Caenorhabditis elegans: one gene and its partners. The protein of the gene in region 2 purifies or fractionates together with the protein of the main gene of each other region. This does not show direct contact. Each region holds a gene or a part of one and is shown on either strand. Other genes may lie near its edges.

The links.
Region 1: the proteins of ndrr-2 (region 2) and Y47G6A.21 fractionate together in Caenorhabditis elegans (co-fractionation; one large-scale study listed by BioGRID). This does not show direct contact.
Region 3: the proteins of ndrr-2 (region 2) and spp-5 fractionate together in Caenorhabditis elegans (co-fractionation; one large-scale study listed by BioGRID). This does not show direct contact.
Region 4: the proteins of ndrr-2 (region 2) and mel-32 fractionate together in Caenorhabditis elegans (co-fractionation; one large-scale study listed by BioGRID). This does not show direct contact.

Annotation. Positions count from the first base shown.
Region 1 is NC_003279.8:3,556,804-3,561,393, forward strand, and holds the start of Y47G6A.21 (DeHydrogenases, Short chain), read right to left. Parts: upstream 3,005-4,590; 5' UTR 2,994-3,004; coding exon 2,829-2,993; intron 2,226-2,828; coding exon 2,133-2,225; intron 1,766-2,132; coding exon 1,586-1,765; intron 1,529-1,585; coding exon 1,422-1,528; intron 1,359-1,421; coding exon 1,295-1,358; intron 600-1,294; coding exon of another isoform or gene 430-599; intron 371-429; coding exon of another isoform or gene 238-370; intron 194-237; coding exon of another isoform or gene 1-193. Other genes in the region: Y47G6A.22 (DeHydrogenases, Short chain), read right to left, coding at 3,191-3,349, 3,403-3,466, 4,444-4,550.
Region 2 is NC_003284.9:16,123,399-16,130,396, forward strand, and holds ndrr-2 (NDRG family member Related), read right to left. Parts: upstream 5,418-6,998; 5' UTR 5,416-5,417; coding exon 5,280-5,415; intron 4,401-5,279; coding exon 4,165-4,400; intron 3,964-4,164; coding exon 3,877-3,963; intron 2,766-3,876; coding exon 2,688-2,765; intron 2,338-2,687; coding exon 2,207-2,337; intron 2,161-2,206; coding exon 2,028-2,160; intron 1,178-2,027; coding exon 1,001-1,177; 3' UTR 544-1,000; downstream 1-543. Other genes in the region: ZK1073.2 (uncharacterized protein), read left to right, coding at 204-352.
Region 3 is NC_003284.9:7,319,415-7,322,331, forward strand, and holds spp-5 (Saposin B-type domain-containing protein), read right to left. Parts: upstream 941-2,917; 5' UTR 940-940; coding exon 787-939; intron 739-786; coding exon 580-738; 3' UTR 523-579; downstream 1-522. Other genes in the region: T08A9.13 (uncharacterized protein), read right to left, coding at 2,585-2,839, 2,887-2,917.
Region 4 is NC_003281.10:6,439,728-6,444,742, reverse strand, and holds mel-32 (Serine hydroxymethyltransferase), read left to right. Parts: upstream 1-1,927; coding exon 1,928-1,990; intron 1,991-2,875; coding exon 2,876-3,007; intron 3,008-3,052; coding exon 3,053-3,390; intron 3,391-3,438; coding exon 3,439-4,262; intron 4,263-4,314; coding exon 4,315-4,481; downstream 4,482-5,015. Other genes in the region: C05D11.13 (Vicilin-like seed storage protein At2g18540), read left to right, coding at 772-920, 959-1,628; C05D11.1 (uncharacterized protein), read right to left, coding at 4,895-5,015. UniProt on the Caenorhabditis elegans protein: Interconversion of serine and glycine.

The DNA of each region.
Region 1 (4,590 bases), on a different chromosome or scaffold from region 2:
ATTCTCCATTCGTTATCAATCGTGTCCGAGTGAAAGAGGAGAGCAAGTACCTGCTTCTGCGTGAAGTTGATGTTCTCTCACCACAAGATGCGCTGGGGTCCGGCGAGACGTCGGCGGCCGTCGTCGCTTTCCTCTATGATGTCTCGAATTCATTCGCGTTCTGCGCCACAGTTTATCAGAAATATTTCTATAGGTGGGTTTTCAAGATCCAATTCCCAATAATTTCAATATTTACAGAACAAAAACGCCGTGTGTCATGATTGCCACAAAAGTTGAACGGGAAGAAGTTGACCAGCGTTGGGAAGTGCCGCCGGAGGAATTCTGTAGACAATTTGAGCTCCCGAAACCAATCAAGTTCTCGACGGGCAATGTAGGCTAGCTTATAAGCTTATAAGCTTCAACTGCGGTTTCACCGTCTTAATATTTCAGATTGGTCAATCCTCTTCACCGATCTTCGAGCAGCTCGCCATGATGGCAGTTTATCCACATCTCCGTCGTGTTTTCTACCTCAACGACTCGAATCTTCTCTCCAAAATCACATTCGGCGCTGCCATAGTAGCTCTAGCTGGTTTGCAACACCAGTCTCTCGCCGTCTAGGATTCAATTGACCTGCAGCCAAGCTGTCTTCAATCCGTTAATTTTTTAATTTTATTTTTCCATTGTTCGTTGTTGTAATAAACGCAATTCTTATTAATCTAAGATTTCAATTTTAATATGAAAATCGGCGGGAGCGAGAAAAAAATCGAACCGGGCGCGTAGTGTGTGCGAAAGAAATGCGCTCGGCGCGCGAAAATTGTGCGACTAGATCGCGAGACAGTAGTCTAGTCGCGCCCCGTCCGCGCGCCAGTCGCACCCTCGTCGCGCGCCAAGGGAGCCAAACTACCGAGTACAGTAGTCATTCAAAGAACTACTGTAGTTTTCGCTACGAGATAATTTGCGCGTCAAATATGATGTGCAGTACGCATTCTCAGCATTTCGTGTTCCCGTAATGTCGCTGTGTAGAATTTGACCCACAGAAAAGGGCGCGCAAGGAATAATGGGCGGAGTTGAAAATGCAACTCCGCCGCACTGTTTTTCGTCTATTTTTCCGCATTTTTAAAAATCAAACAATCAATTTATCTTAATTTGTCAGGTTGAATAATCGAAATCTTGCTTTAGAATTACTTTAATTATTTGATCTTGCTGTGAATATTTTAAAAAAACAGTTAAAATTTTAATTAAAATAGAATCGTGCGGCGGAGTTGCGCTTCCGACTCCGCCCATTACTTCTTGCGTGTCGTTAGAATAGACTTACTGCCGCATATGTAGCTTCATCCTGCCCAGATGCTCGATGAATGTTGGTTACAATGACTCCTGGGCTGAAATTTATTTTAATTATTCTCAATTTTTGGGCTCTTAATATGAAAATATTTAAATCTCACCAAACAGCATTAACACGAACTCCATTCGGAGCCATTTCCAGAGCCAAACATTTTGTGAATTGATCTACGGCCGATTTGGACATACAGTAATATGTGACCCCAGCGAACTGAAAATTGCGAATTCGAAATATATTTTTTTTTAATTTCCAAAAGAAAAATCATACAGGGCACGGTCCATTAATACTGCTGACATTGACAACAGTTCCTTTTGTTGTAATAATATGTGGAAGAGCTGCACGTGTCAGGCGGATCAAACTACGAACATTCACATTCATTAGCTCATCGTAGACTTCAATTCCAGAATCGAGAACTGGTCCGGCACGCAGAATCCCGGCCGAATTGATCTGAAATTTAGAATATTTTAAGGGTAGAATGGGAAATTTCTCGAAAAAAAAACTATGGATCCTGGAAAAGTGAAGTTTTTTATTTTTCAAGTTTAAATTTTGAATAGTATTGACTTCATAAAATTGAAAAAAAACCTATTGTAGTTCCGCAATTGTTCCTGGGATACGAACTTAAAGGCGCACGCAATTATCTAGTTGGGTCTCACCGCGCAAAAACATTTTTCGTGGCAAGACCCAACCGAATAAATCCGTGATCCTCTATGTACGCGTTTCTGAAAATTTTGTAAATAATAAATGGATAAACTCTAAATTTCCGAAAAACTTTTCTCTCGATAGTTTCAAATTGTTTCGAACTGAATATCCTCACCAATGAGTCAATTCTTCCGAATTTTTGTACAGTTGCATCCACAATTGCTTTGGGCGCCTCATCAGAGCTCAGCTCCACTGCAGTTATCAGAATCTGGAATGAAAATCGATTTTTTAATTGATGTCGCTATTTTTTCCACCTAAAAACGTTCAATCCCCTTTTTTTGCAAAATTTTGCGATTTTTGGTCTCGAAACGACATAATAAAATTCATAGCTACAGTACCTGCAAGTGTTTGTAATTTTTAATGATTTTTAGTATACTTCTTGATATTCGATGAGTTTTAATATTTTTTTTTGTATGTGTCAAGACCATGGCGGCGGTTTTTTTTAATTAAAAAAATAATTTTTTTTGTTTTTTCGACAAAAAAACGGTGTTTCCAAAAATTACAAACGAGGAAAAAAAATCGAAATTTTTTTGTGATAACTGCTATCATGAGAACACAAAATTCTGAGAATGCGTAATGCACAACATAATTGACGCGCAAAATATCAAAACTACAGTAATTCTTTAAATGACTACTGTAGCGCTTGTGTTGATTTACGACACCAGAGTTACAGTAGTAATTTGAAGGATTACTGTAGTTTTCGCTACGAGATATTTTGCGCGTCAAATATGTTGCGCAATACGCAATCTCAGAATTCTGTGTTCCCGTAATACTGTACTTTCCGTCACAGTTCCTAAAATATAAAACTCACATCATCAGCCGAAATTGCACCCTCTGAAATACATAGTGCTGCGACTTCCTTCAAAGAATCCGTATTTCTTCCGGTCAGCGAGAGTTGGTACTTTTTTTTCGCGAACAGAAGAGCCGTGCCTTTTCCGATTCCCGAACTTGCTCCGGTGATGATGGCGACTGGCATTTTCGGATACTCTGAATAAATTCAAAACTGAATCAAAAAAAAATCGATTTTTTTTCAAAAAAAAAAAAAATTAAGCAAGGAAAAAACCACTATAAAGGATTCAATAAAAACACAATTAAAAAAAATACATGTATCTCTCTATTTATTACATGATAAAAGTTCAAAACAATCTCAATATGAGACAAAAAAGCTAATATTTATCTCGGATGCATGATTCCGCGGCCTCCGTCAACACGAAGAAGTTCTCCAGTAGTGAATGAACTTTTCTCAGAGGCGAGGAAATAGATTGCCTCAGCAACTTCATTGGCATCACCGGGACGGCCGAGTGCGTGTGTCGTTTTACTACGTTCCAAGAACTGAAAGAAATGATGATATTTATTTGTCAAGGTCAGTGCAGCAGGTTTTATACCGCAGAATATGTTGTCTCGTCTTGACCAGATGTACGATGCAGGTTGGTCACGGTGACCCCTGGGCTGAAATTTTTGGAGAAATGACAAATTTATATGGGTTTATTAAGGGAACACAATATTTTGAGAATGCGTATTGCGCATCATATGTGACGCGCAAAATATCAAAACTACAGTAATTCTTTAAATGACTACTGTTGCACTTGTGCCGATTTACGGGTTTTTTTATTTATCAAAAGATTATTGAAAATGAGAAAATAATACGAAGAAACGAAGAAAATAAATTAATTTCCAAAATCGAGCCCGTAAATCGACACAAGCAGTACAGTAGTCAGTTAAAGGATTACTGTAGTTTTGATATTTTGCGCGTCAAATATGTTGCGTAAGACGAATTCCCAAAATTTTGTGTTCCCGTAATACGTGTGTTGTTAGCGTTTCATTCGACAAAAAATGAGAAAGTTAGCGATTTTTGCACCAAAATACGGTAACCGGTCTCGAAGCGATCTTTTTTTTTTCAATTCAAAAGTGCGTGCGCCTTTAAAGGAGTACTGTAGTGTACTGTAGTTACTTACTCCTAGTTTTTGCGAGATTTTTAAAGCAATTTTCCATAGTTTAGCTCCTGTCTTTTAAAAAATTCGTTTTTATTCAAAAAATATAAAAATGCATCAAAATTTGAACAAAAACAAGAAAACCTATGAAAATTCGGCAAAAAGTTAGAATTTTCAGGAAATTTTCCTAGTTTTTTTTTGTGATTTCGTTCTTACTCATATTTTCCGATAATTTTTCGATTTTTCGAAAAAAAAAAAGCCAAAAATATTTTCGATTTCAAAAATAAATATTTTTCCGATTTTTCGCAAAATATCTTGAAATTTTGACAATTTTTCTTCTTTTTGGAAGAAATGTATATGTTTTCTTATTTTTCGAATATTTCTTTAAAAAACCTAAAAACCGAAAAAATCGTAATTACAGTACTCCTTAAAGAGAATCGATCGCTTCGAGACCTGGCACCGTAGTTTTTTGGCAAAAATCGCGAGAAAACTCACCAAACAGCATTAACACGAACTCCATTCGGAGCCATTTCGAGAGCCAAACATTTTGTGAATTGATCTACGGCCGACTTGGACATACAGTAATAGGTTACATTTGGGAACTGAAAATTGCGAATTTGAAAATTATTTTCAACAAAAAAA
Region 2 (6,998 bases):
ATTTCATCGATTTTCACTGCAAAAAACGGAACAGAGTACCCAGCTGATATTATAAAATATTCCTAATCGTGTACAGTATTTGGATGACAAAACTGCAAACTTTGGCAAATATGGAAAACAAAATTGAAAAAAAAAACAAATGTGGCAACCAAAATGGATGTACAGTATACCATTTCAATTTATTAATTTTGCTTCATTTCCAGAAGAGGAACTTCTGATAGTTTTGGAAATTTTCATCTCGCTCGCCGTGGTAATCATTGAAGTTTGGTTCCTGACAATTGTCCTCAAAGCCTACTCGTTTTTCACCGACAAGTACAACTACACCGGCGGAGACCGCGAGGACAACGTGTGAAATTGATTGCCAATCGTTTTTTTTTGTAATTTTTTTTCTGAATGTTTGCTAGTGTGATATTTTTTCCCCTTCCATGTACATGTACATTTTCCCCTCTTCAACCACCTACCCAATTTTCTCTTTTTGAATCAAAAATGTATTATCCGAATCCTCAAAAAAAAAAGAAGAAAAAGAAGAAAAAAAACGTTCACCGCCCAATATTCTATATTTATTTTATCCGGAAAAAGTTCGTTTTGAATAAAATATAAAATGGAAAGATAGAATGTGTGTGTGTGTAAAATGTATAGAGAAACTCAACTGAAAAGGTTGCGTTGAAATTGAGAATGCCGATAGTATAAGATAGAAGATAGATTGAATATTTGAAGGAATTTCAAGCTTTTTTCAAGGACATTGTTTTTAGGGGGGGGGGGTAACCATACAACACACAAAATATAAAAAGAGGTCCAAATTGCGGCAGACAAAATGTGGGGATATTGGAACTGAAAAAAAAGAATTACAACCATTTTTGTTGTTGGGATAAATATATATTTTTGGTTTTTTCAGATGGGGTGGGAATGGGACTTGGGGCGTAGAGAGTTGGGAAAATCGAAAAAAAAAAGAAAATCAAAGAAAAGTACAAAATAGAGACATAGGAAAACGTACAGATTCTTAAGCAGATGGGACTGGTGGAAGATGTGGTTGGGTGACGGACATGCGACGCGGGCGGTCGGCCTCTTCCATCGAGCTGGACAGAGTTCTTTGGCGCTCCATTCCTGGGATGGCGACTCCCGAGAGCACTCCGCATCCTTTGCAGAGAAGGATCAGCGAGCGGGCGAGCTTGTCTGGCTGAAATTTGGGAGATTGGAAATGATAAACGTTCCGCTGAAAACCTCGAAAAAAAGCAGCAATTTTCAAAAATTTTCAGATTTTTCCGACTGTCCGTTTTTGACAAAATTCTTATTGGTGCTATTCCACGTAGGATTTGGAACATTTTACTTTGGGGAGGAAAAATCGAGGGAAAGTTTTTTTTTTTGAATAATTCCATTTGTATAAAAAAATGCCCATTTTGATATTTGTTTCTTCTTTTTAAGGTTGAAACTCCATTCAAAAACATTATTTCGCCCCGGAATATTTGTCTCCAAGGATAAATATCCTACTGAAGTTTTTCCCCGGTTTCTCTCGTATGTTATATGAAGCTAGGGTTTTCATGTAGGCTGCCGCGCCTGCCTCGCGCCGCGCCACCTGTATAGTGTGGCGCGGAACCCGAAAAGTGTGCAGAAATGAGGCGAGAGGCCGGCAGGCTGGAGACAGACTTCAGGCCCTGAAACGCGCCTGCCTCCCATGGAAGCACTATATAAAGTAATTTTGAATTATGTATGGATTATTTAATATCAGTATTGATAAATCAGTATTGATAAAAATTAATATTTCCACGTGAAAACAGAGAATAGGTTCAGAAACTCAGAAATTCAGAAAAAAAATTAAAAAAAAAGAGGTTGAAGTTAGTTTCAGAATTCGAAATTAAAAAAAAAAATTTTATGGTACTTTTTGTTCAAAAAAGTCAATGAAATCTGTGAAATTTGAGTTCAAAGACATACACGTGTAAATTATGCGAAAATTTGTTTCAAGAGATCAGAATTATGTGCAGGATTCGATTTCATCAATATTTTTTTTCAAAACATAAACTGTAACTTACAGCCTCTTGCATAACATCGGCCACGTTGTCCACCACCAACAGAGTCGTTTTCTTCTTGTTCATCGACTTGTGAGTCGTGTAAACCGTGTGGAGATGAGAAGCCTTGCTTCCAGTCACCAAAAGTGCGTCCACTCTGAAAGTATAGTATACTAATATCAGCGGTTCAGTAGGAAACTCACGTCTCGAGCTTTGTTCCAATAGTTGAGGAGAGATCAGTACGTTTGGTGAAAGCGACGAGGTACTTGGACAAGTTCTTTGGGTTCAAGGTGGCCTTGAGCTCTTCCAAGTATTCCTGGCGAGATTTGGATTCCTGAAAGTAGAGAGTTTATTTTTTATTGCTTAATTATTTTCGATTTTCTATTACAACAAAAACATGTGCTTTCCCACATATGTACAACGCATTTCAGGGGCTAAAATCTAAGATCGATGGATCCAATTTTCGTAAGAGCAAGCAACCAAGAATCACTGATGGTGAAAAAAAAAAAAAGAATCGAAAGAAAAATACTACAAATTCTAAAAATCACTTGTTAAAAGTTTAAAATCATTACAGAACCAGCTAGTAAGTAGACTTACATCTCCCTGAAATGAAATGTTAGAAGACAGTTACAAAAATGTTTAGGAAAGCAAGCAGTGAATAATTTTCCAGTTGAGAAAACTTACTCCTCCAAATTTGTGGGCTAGCAAGTAGTCCCAGGCACCGTCCGACATGATGGAGTTCTCCAAACGCATGTTCATGACCTGCAAATGTATGAGATTGAAAATCATTTTTTTATAAATTTCATCAGTTGAACCAATTGGTTTTAACTGTCTTTATATCTAATTTTAGCGTACTACATAAAATGACAATTTTTAAAAATTAGGATTTCTTTAGAAATGTTTTACGGGAGACTCTGTAATGCTTCAACTTGAACGCATGTTCCAAGCGGGGCAACGTAATATTTTAAAAAATGTCTCAAAAAATTTAATGACAGTTCAAAATTTTTTATGAATTTTCAAAGTCTTGAATTTGGTTATTATGAGCTTTCTTAAAAGTGGAGTCGCGCGCCTGTGGGAATTTTTGTTTGAATACACTTATAATAATTCAAAACGACCAAATATCATGATAAAACATCCAAAAAACTTCAAATTTTTTAAAATTTCTAGTCAAAGTTTCGGCATGCAGTTTGATAAAGCAAAGAATATATCGTGTAAACTTTCTTCAATCGTTGAGATTTGGGAATTTTCCAACGAACTGTTTTGTTTTAAATATTAGTAAAAATAGTCATTACATATCTATAGAGGAAAATCTGATAACCATTTTTTGATTCCGTAAGTTTTTATAGTTTTTGGAACATTTAACTCCTTGGAGCGCGCTTTAGAACAACATTCAATATTAAATCTTTTCAATGAGAATTTGCTCCACGTTTTCTAGTAATTTCTTTGCTTGGGCTTGTACTTTTATAACAGAATTTTAGAAGTTTCCATTAAGAAAAACCAATCTTAAGAAGTTTTGGATCTTTTGACCCCTCTACGTCATTGCCTTTCATGAAGCAATCTTCAACGATTCCCCTCTCTCTCTCTCTTTTTTTTCAGCGGTTTTCATCTTGATATAATCAAATTTTCCTCGCTCATTTTTTTCCCAAAAAATTATTTTCCTTTTGGCCCTCCATCCTCATTCAAAATTCTTTTTTTAGCTTCTTCCCACCCTCTTGGAGGACTCCCTACTGCTCATTGCTCGTCAAAATGACGTTGGCGGCCGGCGGCGGCAAAGTATTGAGCCGAGTGCCGAGCCAGCTCAATGCAGATCAATTATCATTCTGTTACAACACCGTGCATCAGCATGTATTGAATGACAAATTGATGCGCTTACCTTTTCCTTGCAGTACTCAATAATTCCAGCAGTCGTAGATGTGCAGTGCACCAAGACGATTCCCATGATTCTGTTCGGGTGTCCCATCTGAAAAAAGTTTGCTCAAAATTTTCTGATGAAGTTTTCAAAAAAAACATCATTGTTTGCCACTGGCCAGTTGTTCGTTTATTTTTTCTATCCAAAACTCGCGAAAAAGTAAGTAAATCCAAGGCAAATAGTGATTCTTCTTTTTCAAAACTAACCCAACTACAAACAAATGTTCTTAAAGATCAAATATTATGAACTCACTGCAAATCGGCAGATGATATTGGCTCCGACTCCTTCTCCAAAAGCGATTGCTGACTTGACTTCGAATTTGTCGAGCACTGCACTCAGATCATCTCCGATTCCGTCAAGAGTTGGGAAGTCGCCGAAAAAGTCGGCCGAATTGTCCTCCTGTCCCGGAACGCAGACGTGGAGAAAGATGGCCTTCTCCTTGACGGTAGCCATGCTTGGGTGGTTGACGAAACGCACAAAACTCTTGTCTGAAAATTTGGAATTCTTATATATTTTTTGAATTTGATTCTCATGATCAAAGAATTACACATTTATTGAAAAGTGCACCTAATAGAAAAAAGCCTAAAATATGTTTTGAAATAATTTTTTAAACTTTTATAGTAGTTTAAATTTTTAAAACTGAATCTAGCAAAAATTGTTAAGTGTGCTAAAATAAACCTTAATTCTAAATTAGTTAAATATAACTAAATTTTTCAAAAACTCATGTTTCAAAATGACGTCATAGTTCAGTAATTTGAAAGCAAAACTTTCATAGTTATCCATGTAAAAAAAATTTTACTACATCAAACATTTTTCAGTCCCTTGTATTATGTTTTACGACTGGGATTTTAGATTGGATATTTATAAATCTTAAAGTTTAATCTAAAAGCGGCGGATTGTTGATTTTTTGTCTCAAAAACATCATACGGACACAAAGAAAAATACATCGAGATTGAAAAATAATTTCTGAAAATTCAAAAATATCAAGCTTTCTGACAAATAATGGGAGTGAAATAAAAATTGATATTTTAAAATTTGCAGTGACTTTTTGATTTAACCGAAAGTTCCAAAAAATGTTCAAATTTTAAAAATCATATGCTTATTAATAATATGACTTTTTGTCTCAAACATTCTGTTATTCAGAGTTAAAATTTTAGAGGAACGAATATATAGACCGAATCTCACTAAATTTTTCAAAATGCTAGTATATAATTCATTTTGATTTGAGGAAACTACCTATATAAAAAGTTTTGCCAAAATTTTCTAGAAATGGAATAATATTTTTGGCAGTTATTATCTTTGAGTTCCAGTTTTGAACAATTCAACATAACATTTTTTTTTTTCAGTAAAATTCCCAATTCACTCACGGTTAGTTCCAATATCGTGAACGGTCAGGATGATGGTTTTTCCGCCACGCTCCTCCAAATTTCCCTGAACGTAGACATGAAGAACTCCGCAGTTCTGGGCCTGGACGACCACCATTTGCAAGTTATCCTCGGACATTTCTGGAAGCAAACAAAAAAAGTCACAGTCACGCGTGAGAAATAAATGAACTAAAGTGAAACATGTTTTTTTTCTTGAAAGACGAAAGTTGACAAAGGAAGTATGTGAGGAAGACGAAAAAATCGAATTTCATAGACAGAGAGCGGGCACAAGAAGAGAGAGACAAACGCACAAAAAAGAGGGGAGAAGATGAAGCAAGAGCGGAGAGCTGTGTTGGGTGGCAGGAGAAAGAGGAGGAGAAGGCCGAGATGAGAAAAACAAGGAGGCAAAATGGGTGGCCGCTTTGGGAGCGTCTTCCAGAGGATGCACTGGTCACGTGTTAAGTCCCTTCTTTTTCGGTCTAAACAACATCAATAATTTTCGGCTTGTTTTTTTTTCGGCCAAGCTTAGGGAGCAAAAATTACAATGTTCGGGGTTCTGAGACATTGATGAAGAAAGAAGATTGATATGTGGAAATTTTGGTTTCTGATTTCTTGATGTTGATACATTTTTTAAAAATTGGTGGCTCTAGTAGGCAAGGCGCAGTCCCCTAGTTTTGCCCAAAAGCTGAAAAGTTGAGCAGAATTAGTACAAAACTCTGTAGAAACTGTAGAAAGTACTAGAAAGTACTAGATACTAGATACTAGATACTAGATACTAGATACTAGATATTAGTACTAAAAAGTAAAAAGTACTAGAAAGTATTGTAGAAAGCTCGGTGCAGGCCGCCATAAATCTATGAAACTTTTCTAAGTTGGAGTCAAGGAATTCAAATTTGAAACGCTTTGGGTGCCAAAAAAGTTTAAGACTCTGTTAAACCCAAGGTCATTTTTTGACAACATCTTTATGAAATTTGAGACCTTAGAATGAACAAAGAGGTTACATTAAAGAGATCATGTCTAAGGTTAGCCTAAGGTTTGCAAACTTCTTGATAAAGTTAGGACAAACTAGGGCAAAAATTTGACTCCAAATTCCAGATCCATGAAGATTTTCCAGTCCTTCCTAAAAATCGTCAGAGAAACTTGTTCTAAAAATTGATCTACAAGAAATTTAATGTAGAATATTTCAAATTTAAGTACACAAGCAATTTCAATACAAGGATAGGTGTCTGCTATTCTTTGTTCAACTTCGGTTGGCTGATACAAAAGTACGAGTACAGTAACCGTTACTTACTGAAAAGTACGTGATATTGTAGTTTCCATAAAGGCTTACTTAAAGTACGCAAAAAAATATACAGTTTTCAGCTCTGTGTGCAACTCAGAATCCTAAAGACTTAAAAAAACCAAAATCTTGAGACCTTGCAGTTGGTATTATCAAAATTTATTATTTTACTAAACTCGTGGAAAATTCAATACGATTATCCGATAAAAGTGTATATGGGTCGTGGGAAATTGACGAAATATTGTTTTGCACGTAAAAAGGAAATAGGACAAAAAAATCAAGTGACTTCCAGAACTCTCCTAGACAATACTGAATAACTGAAAAGTGGAATTCTCACGTCACCAGAATTTTTCGCGTCTTATCACATTTTGTTGTTGACTATTTTTTTGTATCAATTCTACATGTAGTTTCAGGAAGCAAAAATGCGGTCAATGATGTTCAAT
Region 3 (2,917 bases), 8.8 Mb from region 2:
TGTGAAAAAGTTACAGGTATTATATATTGCAAATCATCAAGACGCGGCACTTCCCTGAAATTGTATGTTGTTATCTGTAAAAATTAGGTGTCCAGGGCAGGACAATTTCACAAAGAAAACTTATCAAACCAAACTCCTAATGTGTCAAAAAAGTATCAAAGGTTTTGAAAAAAGTGTACTCATTTTTCGCTGTTCAATCAATAATTGTGCGCGAAAAGCTTTCAAGCTTCAAGATAATTCTAGAAACTCAAGAAAAGCTTGCAACGAGCTTTCAGCGTTTCAAGCAATAACAGTCACGTGTACATGGTGTGCAGACCGGGCAAGTTCCAAACTCTAAAATCATAATGATACACATTTTTTCAATTGTTCCCCACTCTCCTGGATTGAAGCTTTTTGGATTACAGTCCTTATCAGTACTATTATGATTCGTTATTAGACTTGAGGCCCTTTCTAAAAAATAAGGTCCAATACATTTCTGGTCACAATTATTCTATATTTATCAAAATTCTGGTTGAAACTTTTAAAAATCGAAAATTTATTGGTAAAAGTTTCAAACAAGTAAAAATTTCAATGATCCGTTTATGGGCATTCGTTAAGCTTGGTGCACACATCCTTTGGAGCGGTTCCTCCTTCCAGCTCGTGAATGATTGGGTCTACCTTGCTGTTGACGTAATGATCGCATTCTCTGGTTCCGAATGGGATGGTGTGGAAAAGCTTCTTGCATTCAGCATCGAAATCCTAGAATATTCAAGAGTTGTTGGTTTTTTTCTAGCACGGATTTATTACCTTCTTGATGACATTGGCATCCTTATCGGCGGATCCTTCGTATTTCTTGACAACCAACTCACACATTTGACAGCTCAATGCGCTTCTATTTTCTGGGATGGCAAGTCCTGAGGCAACGGCGACCAAAACGGCTAGTACAAGAAGAGTCTTCATTCTGTAATAAAATAAATTGAAATGAAACACTGAAGCATCAAAACGCAAGGAAGAATTGAAAGAGCACGCGGTGATAGGGGCGCATTTATAGCAAAAACTTCCCAATTTTGATTACTTGACCATTTGATAAGAAGCAGCGTCGAAAGCGGAGAGCATAATGTATGGAATAGAAAAAAGGTTACAGATCGACAACATATGCATTAAACTCGTGATAAATAGGAAAATTGTCCGGCTTGCAGGAATGTACTAAACATTTATACTATGTTGCAATGCATGATAACTGTTTTTTAACGATCCAGATGTATGACATTTAGAATAACGTCAACTTACGTTGTTATTTGTAAATATATTTAAACTTTCTTTGGATAGAACGAGTAGGTAATGTACAAATATAAACTCGTTTATGATCAATTTTTTGCGAACTTTCAAGTTAATATAAACATTTAGTATTATTGCCACGCCACGACATAAACATGAATTTAAAAAATTAATGAAACTATATTTTGAATATATAACTGTTTTCGAGTAAAAATACCACAAAGTAAGAGAAGTAGGTGTTTATTTTTTTCCAGAAATATATTACTGTTTCGGCGGTAGTATTTAGTTTCCACAACGTTTCAGTGTTTTATTCCGCTCTGATGTTCATCTGGAAAAATAATGTTGTTCAACTTATTCAATTTTGTAAGACTGCAAAAATAGTCATCAAATAAGTTTAGATTCATAGTAAGTAAAAGTTGTTTAACAAAATAGTGTCCACTAGATTTACCGAGAGGTTCGAGGCAATGGATTAGTTTTAGATAAAACTTTATTGTTTCTGAAAATTATGAAAGGACTTGTGGCATTTGTATTCGGAGCGGTTTGAAACAACATTTAATATTTTTTTGCAACTATATCTTTGAACGTGAGGTTATTCATTCCGTTTCAGATTTTCCCGCATAGACTGTTTCTATTAACTTCCCTAGAAACCTAAGATCCTTTGTATGATATTATAACCGATTTATGACTCAATATCGCATAACTCTAACAAAAAACTTATCATGTGGTAACATTCAAAATATTCGCACATTGTCTAGCTTTAAGAGTCAAAATTAATTCACTCCCTATGGGAAAAGTGTTGATATAATTTTTCATTTCCTTGTCTTTGCTTCTGATCTCCCATTGTGAATAGGGAATTCAAAATTTTCAATCGAAGTTTTGGTAACTGGCCTTTTTTAAGTAAATTTTTTGAAAAAAAAATGGAAGCGATGCAGCAGGTTTAAAATTTCTATATTGGTCAATGACAACTATTTAAAACATGGTTAAAAATTGGCGAAAATTCAAAAAAACATGTTTTGGCCGACTTACAAAAGTATAGTCATATTTAACTGAGTTTTCAACCAATATCATCGAACTAACTGCTCATAGATAATTTTTTTCTAACGTTTTGCGTTTTGATATTGGGTCATTTTAACAACATATAAATGCTTTTAAAGATTTTCCCAAATAATGATATTTTGCTTTGAAATGTTGGACAGACAATGTACCAAGACCATGTCAGAATTAAGACAATGCAACAATGTTCATATGGAAAGACTGCATCAGATTGAGACCTATTAATTATAAAATTTCAATAATTTAGAAATTTTAACAGACAAATCAATTATTTTCACTTTGTCAGTTCCTCGCCTTTGGCTCCCATAATTACACGTGCATCCATCACAGCTTGAGAAGCTTTTTGTGCAGCAATAATGGCTTTAGCTATTTTCTTTTTGGTGAGCGTCTCGTTTTCTTTCCGTTCTTGTTCCGTCAATGTTGGGATTTTTTTCAGTACATCGTATTGGTCAAGAGCCTGTTGACATTCAACCCTAGTTCGTTGCTCGAGCTCCTTCGCTTTTTGAAGCTTTTCCAGTTCTGCGTTTCTCTGAAAAACTGTTTTTAAAGTTCAAATAATTCTGATTCGAAAATTACGAGTTCTGCTGTTCGTCTGGCATGTGGGTCG
Region 4 (5,015 bases), on a different chromosome or scaffold from region 2:
TTGTAATGCCATTACATTTTTATCCAAACCAAATGAATAGATTTCTGATTAGTGTGTACTTGAACGGAAAAGCTTCAATATTGCCATAATTGTGGTACATATATACATTCATCCCACTACAGTATCCTTTTCTGAAAAGATTGCAAAGTGTTGTATAGAAGAAGAGACGCAGATAATCAAACAAGACGTCTGCGCTCGTGTATGTTTGTCTCTGGACAGACATACACACAGAAACACCGACAATGAAGATATGAAGACACACAGACACACAGAAAGCCGTCATCGATTCTCCTGTTTTCTTTGAGCCTTATTTATATTTTTCTTATTACTCCGACGCGTAATTTTGAGATTTTTGCGCCAAAAACGGTACCCAGTCTCGACATGATATTTTTTTTAATGTGATAATTTCAAAACGGTGCACACCTTTGGAGAGTACTTTAATTACAAACTTTTGTAGTTGCGGAATGTTCATCGATTTTCCATCGTATTCCGATGAAAAACATCCTTAACTATTGAAAACTCAAAAAAAAACACGAATTTTAACAGAACGTAAGAAAAGTATGAAAAATCATGAACGGTTCCACACCAACTAGATTAAAAAATTACAGTACTCCTTGAAGGCGCACAAGTTTTTCTCATTTAACTAAAACATGTCGTGTCGAGAATCGGCACCGTATTCTTGGCGCAGGAGTCGCAAAACCTCTGTCTGTGTATTTAGTAATGTAGATTTTCAAGTTTTCTGAAAAATTAATGTATATTTGTAAGTTCAGAATGAGTAGAAAAGATTGCAAAAATATTGTCGAAGACGAAGAAGAAGATGAGAAGAGTAATGGGAATAAATCTGAAAGTCCACAAAATGCTGGCCTAGAAGAAACAATTCAGAATTTTATAGCAACATTTTTACCTGGTTCAAGTGATGAGTAAGAGTAGTAAATAGCATATTAAAATTTTTTTTAAGTTTCAGACCTCATATTACGGATATTCCAAGTTCATCCGAACCTCAAGAAGGATCTAGAGAATGCAGACTCTCCAAAGAAGCACATCGGAAACGTCTGAGAAGAGCTCGTGAAACATCAGAGGAGACTCACACACGTCTTGCCAAGGCTGCAGACTATAAAAGGAAGAGATGCTCAGAAGAGACAGAAGAAGAATATAGAGAACGATTGAAAAGGCAAGCTGAAAGAAAAAAAATGGAAAGAATGCAAGAGTCGGAAGATCAGGCAAATAATCGAAGAATAAAGGCTGCAGAGCATCGACGCCAGTATCTGCAAAGGGAGTCATTCGAAAAAGCTCAGGAAAGAAGGAATAAGGATGCGGAACGGAGAAGGAAGAGTCTCCTGGCTGAAACTCCAGAAGAAGCTGAATTGCGTAGAGCCAAGAATGCTCAGAGACGTCGGGATGCTATTAAGAATGAAACACCAGAGGAAGCTGAAAATCGGCGACAGCGTGATGCAGCAAGAAGACGGCAATATTTGCAGACGGAGACTTCAGAGCAAAAATCAGCTAGGAAAATCCAAGATGCTGCACGAAAACGTCAAAATCGAATTTTGAAGCAAGCAGGGCAAAGTGAAGAATCACTTGCAGTCATCACGGGATCATTGAGCGATGGAACTCTTTCGGGTCTATAAAAATTAATTGAAAATTTTTTTAATAAATAAGTAGTTTGTTGTTTGACCTTTTGCTTTTAAAACCGATAAAATCGTATTAATTTTTTGAATCAACGGTCCGCTCATTTCCACCTATCAGTCTTTAAATTCTGTTGAATCGCAATAAAAACGGCAAGTTTCATCTCTTGTTTGCAACAAAACAGAGAAACTGATAAGACTGATAACGATCAGTGGTCTGATCGATAGTCGATTTCTGTTTTAACACATTTATTCTGAAGTTCTAGAATTTTATTTGTTATTTTAATATTTTCAGGCACAAAATGTTTGCAAGGATAGTGAGCAGAAGAGCAGCAACTGGATTATTTGCCGGAGCCAGCTCCCAGGTTTGTGTGTGCACTTTCGCGTGGGATCAGTTGTAAAATACGCATGGCGCGAATATTTGAATTTGTAAAAATTTTGCCCGCTCAAAGTTGCAATTTGCTTTTCTCTCCCCATTTTCATTCCCAAAACGGCACCGTCCATGGTTCACTCGTTGTTTCTGATCAGAAAGTGATCTTCATCATAATATCTTGCCATTTTCCGCCTTTCACTCAGTTATCTCGGGCTTGTCTCCGACTTGTCCAGCAATAGAAATATCGTTGACATTGACCCACAGGCGCCGCTTTTGTTGCTTTGATAACAACTTGGTAACTGATAAACTCTATTCACTTCTTTATTTTTATTTTTAATGATCATCTCTGTGATGTTGCATTGATAATCGTAGTTCTCTATTTTCTCCGCGTATATTTTTACCATAAGCTGTGAAAATGTCTTGCTCCGTTGTTTCTTTTTGCAGTTCTGAATAACACATGTACACGCTGCAGTATCGTTTGCACTTGTTTTAAATGGTTTCTTTGCATAGTTTTCTGTAGCAATGTTTTGTGTTTGCATTTGAAAGTTATCTGCATTATATTTTTGTTATTAGAGACCACTTTTTTGTTTTTATTACTAAGTTAGTGTACACTTGTTAAAACCACGCTCGAATACCTCTTTAATTACAATTTCTAATGAGTAACTTTTGACTTATCAGTTTTGATCTACGATCCGGGATGCGCCCAATCTCGAAAACTTCCCGGTTCAGATATCATCATAGCCTACCGCGAATCCAGTTTTATTCTTATTTTCTCCACACTTTCCCATGCATATACGTGTTGCCAACGCGTCAGCTTTTGTGTTGAATATGTTCCCGATTTTTTCGCTTCTTTGCTTAATTTAATTTGGTTTTACAGTGTAAAATGGCTGATCGTCAAGTGCACACACCATTGGCTAAAGTTCAGCGCCACAAGTACACCAACAACGAGAACATTTTGGTGGACCATGTTGAGAAAGTTGATCCAGAAGTTTTCGATATCATGAAAAATGTAAGACTTAATGTTTCTCAAATCTTAGTCATTTGTTTTTTTCAGGAGAAGAAGCGGCAGCGTCGTGGACTTGAGCTCATCGCTTCCGAGAACTTCACAAGCAAGGCTGTTATGGATGCTCTTGGCTCGGCAATGTGCAACAAATACAGTGAAGGATACCCTGGAGCTCGGTATTACGGAGGAAATGAGTTCATCGATCAGATGGAGCTCCTTTGCCAGAAGAGAGCTCTTGAGGTATTCGGACTTGATCCAGCCAAGTGGGGAGTCAATGTGCAGCCATTGTCCGGATCACCAGCCAATTTCGCAGTCTACACTGCCATCGTTGGATCCAATGGACGCATTATGGGCCTCGATCTTCCAGATGGAGGTCATTTGACTCATGGGTAAGGTTATCTAGATTAGACTCGAATGAATTATACATTTAATTTCAGATTCTTCACCCCAGCTCGCAAAGTCTCTGCGACTTCTGAATTCTTCCAGTCTCTTCCATACAAGGTTGATCCAACAACTGGATTGATCGACTATGACAAGCTTGAGCAGAATGCAATGCTTTTCCGTCCAAAAGCCATCATTGCCGGAGTTTCCTGCTACGCTCGTCATCTCGATTATGAACGTTTCCGTAAGATTGCCACAAAGGCTGGAGCCTATTTGATGTCTGATATGGCTCACATCTCCGGACTTGTTGCCGCTGGACTTATCCCATCACCATTCGAGTATTCTGATGTTGTAACCACAACGACGCACAAGTCGCTCAGAGGACCACGTGGAGCTTTGATCTTCTACAGAAAGGGTGTCCGATCTACCAACGCAAAGGGAGTTGACACTTTGTATGATTTGGAGGAGAAGATCAACTCGGCCGTGTTCCCAGGACTTCAAGGTGGACCACACAATCACACTATTGCTGGAATTGCCGTTGCTTTGAGACAATGCCTTTCTGAAGATTTTGTTCAGTACGGAGAGCAAGTGTTGAAGAATGCCAAAACCTTGGCCGAGAGAATGAAGAAGCATGGATATGCTTTGGCAACCGGAGGAACCGACAATCATTTGTTGCTTGTTGACTTGCGCCCAATCGGAGTTGAAGGAGCTCGTGCTGAGCATGTGCTTGATCTCGCTCATATTGCTTGCAACAAGAATACGTGCCCAGGAGACGTTTCTGCTTTGAGACCAGGAGGCATTCGTCTCGGAACTCCAGCTCTCACCTCCCGTGGATTCCAGGAGCAAGATTTCGAGAAAGTCGGAGATTTCATTCATGAGGGTATGTTTTTTCAACTGTAATCTTCAACATTAATCTAAAATATTGATTTCAGGTGTTCAAATCGCAAAGAAGTACAATGCTGAGGCTGGAAAGACATTGAAAGACTTCAAATCATTCACTGAGACCAATGAACCATTCAAGAAAGACGTCGCTGATCTCGCCAAACGTGTTGAGGAGTTCTCCACGAAGTTCGAGATTCCAGGAAACGAAACTTTCTAATTTTAATCATCATCGTCATTATCAACATTGCATTTGTATTTATAAAAACATTCCCGCCATTTTATCACTTTCATGTTTGAATTTTAAACAGGAGAAATAAATATTGATCTTTTCAAATTTAATTGTTTTTTTATATTTAGAAAGCAATTGAGATTATCTACGGCATTTGGCATAAGCCGTATGCTGAATTTTCTGAATGCCGCACACATCTGGACCCTTCTACAGTTCTCTCACAGTGATGTTTGGGGTAGCTGTTTAATGCAACGTTCACCGACTTTTTTCCATTTGTGTTTAATTCAAATCAGACCAGAACTTTATTTAACAAAACAAGCTACCGAAAGAAATAAATAAAACCAGAGCCAACAAACGGGGAAATGATGGAAGAATAATAAGAATATAAAAGAACAGGCAAACTAGCATGCAAACTGCAAGTCCGAAATCTTGATCTTGCTACTTCCTGGGAATGCCTTCTTCATCTCATTGAGTTTTGATGGATGAACAGCAATTGAACGGACAAAGCACTTCTCATCGAAA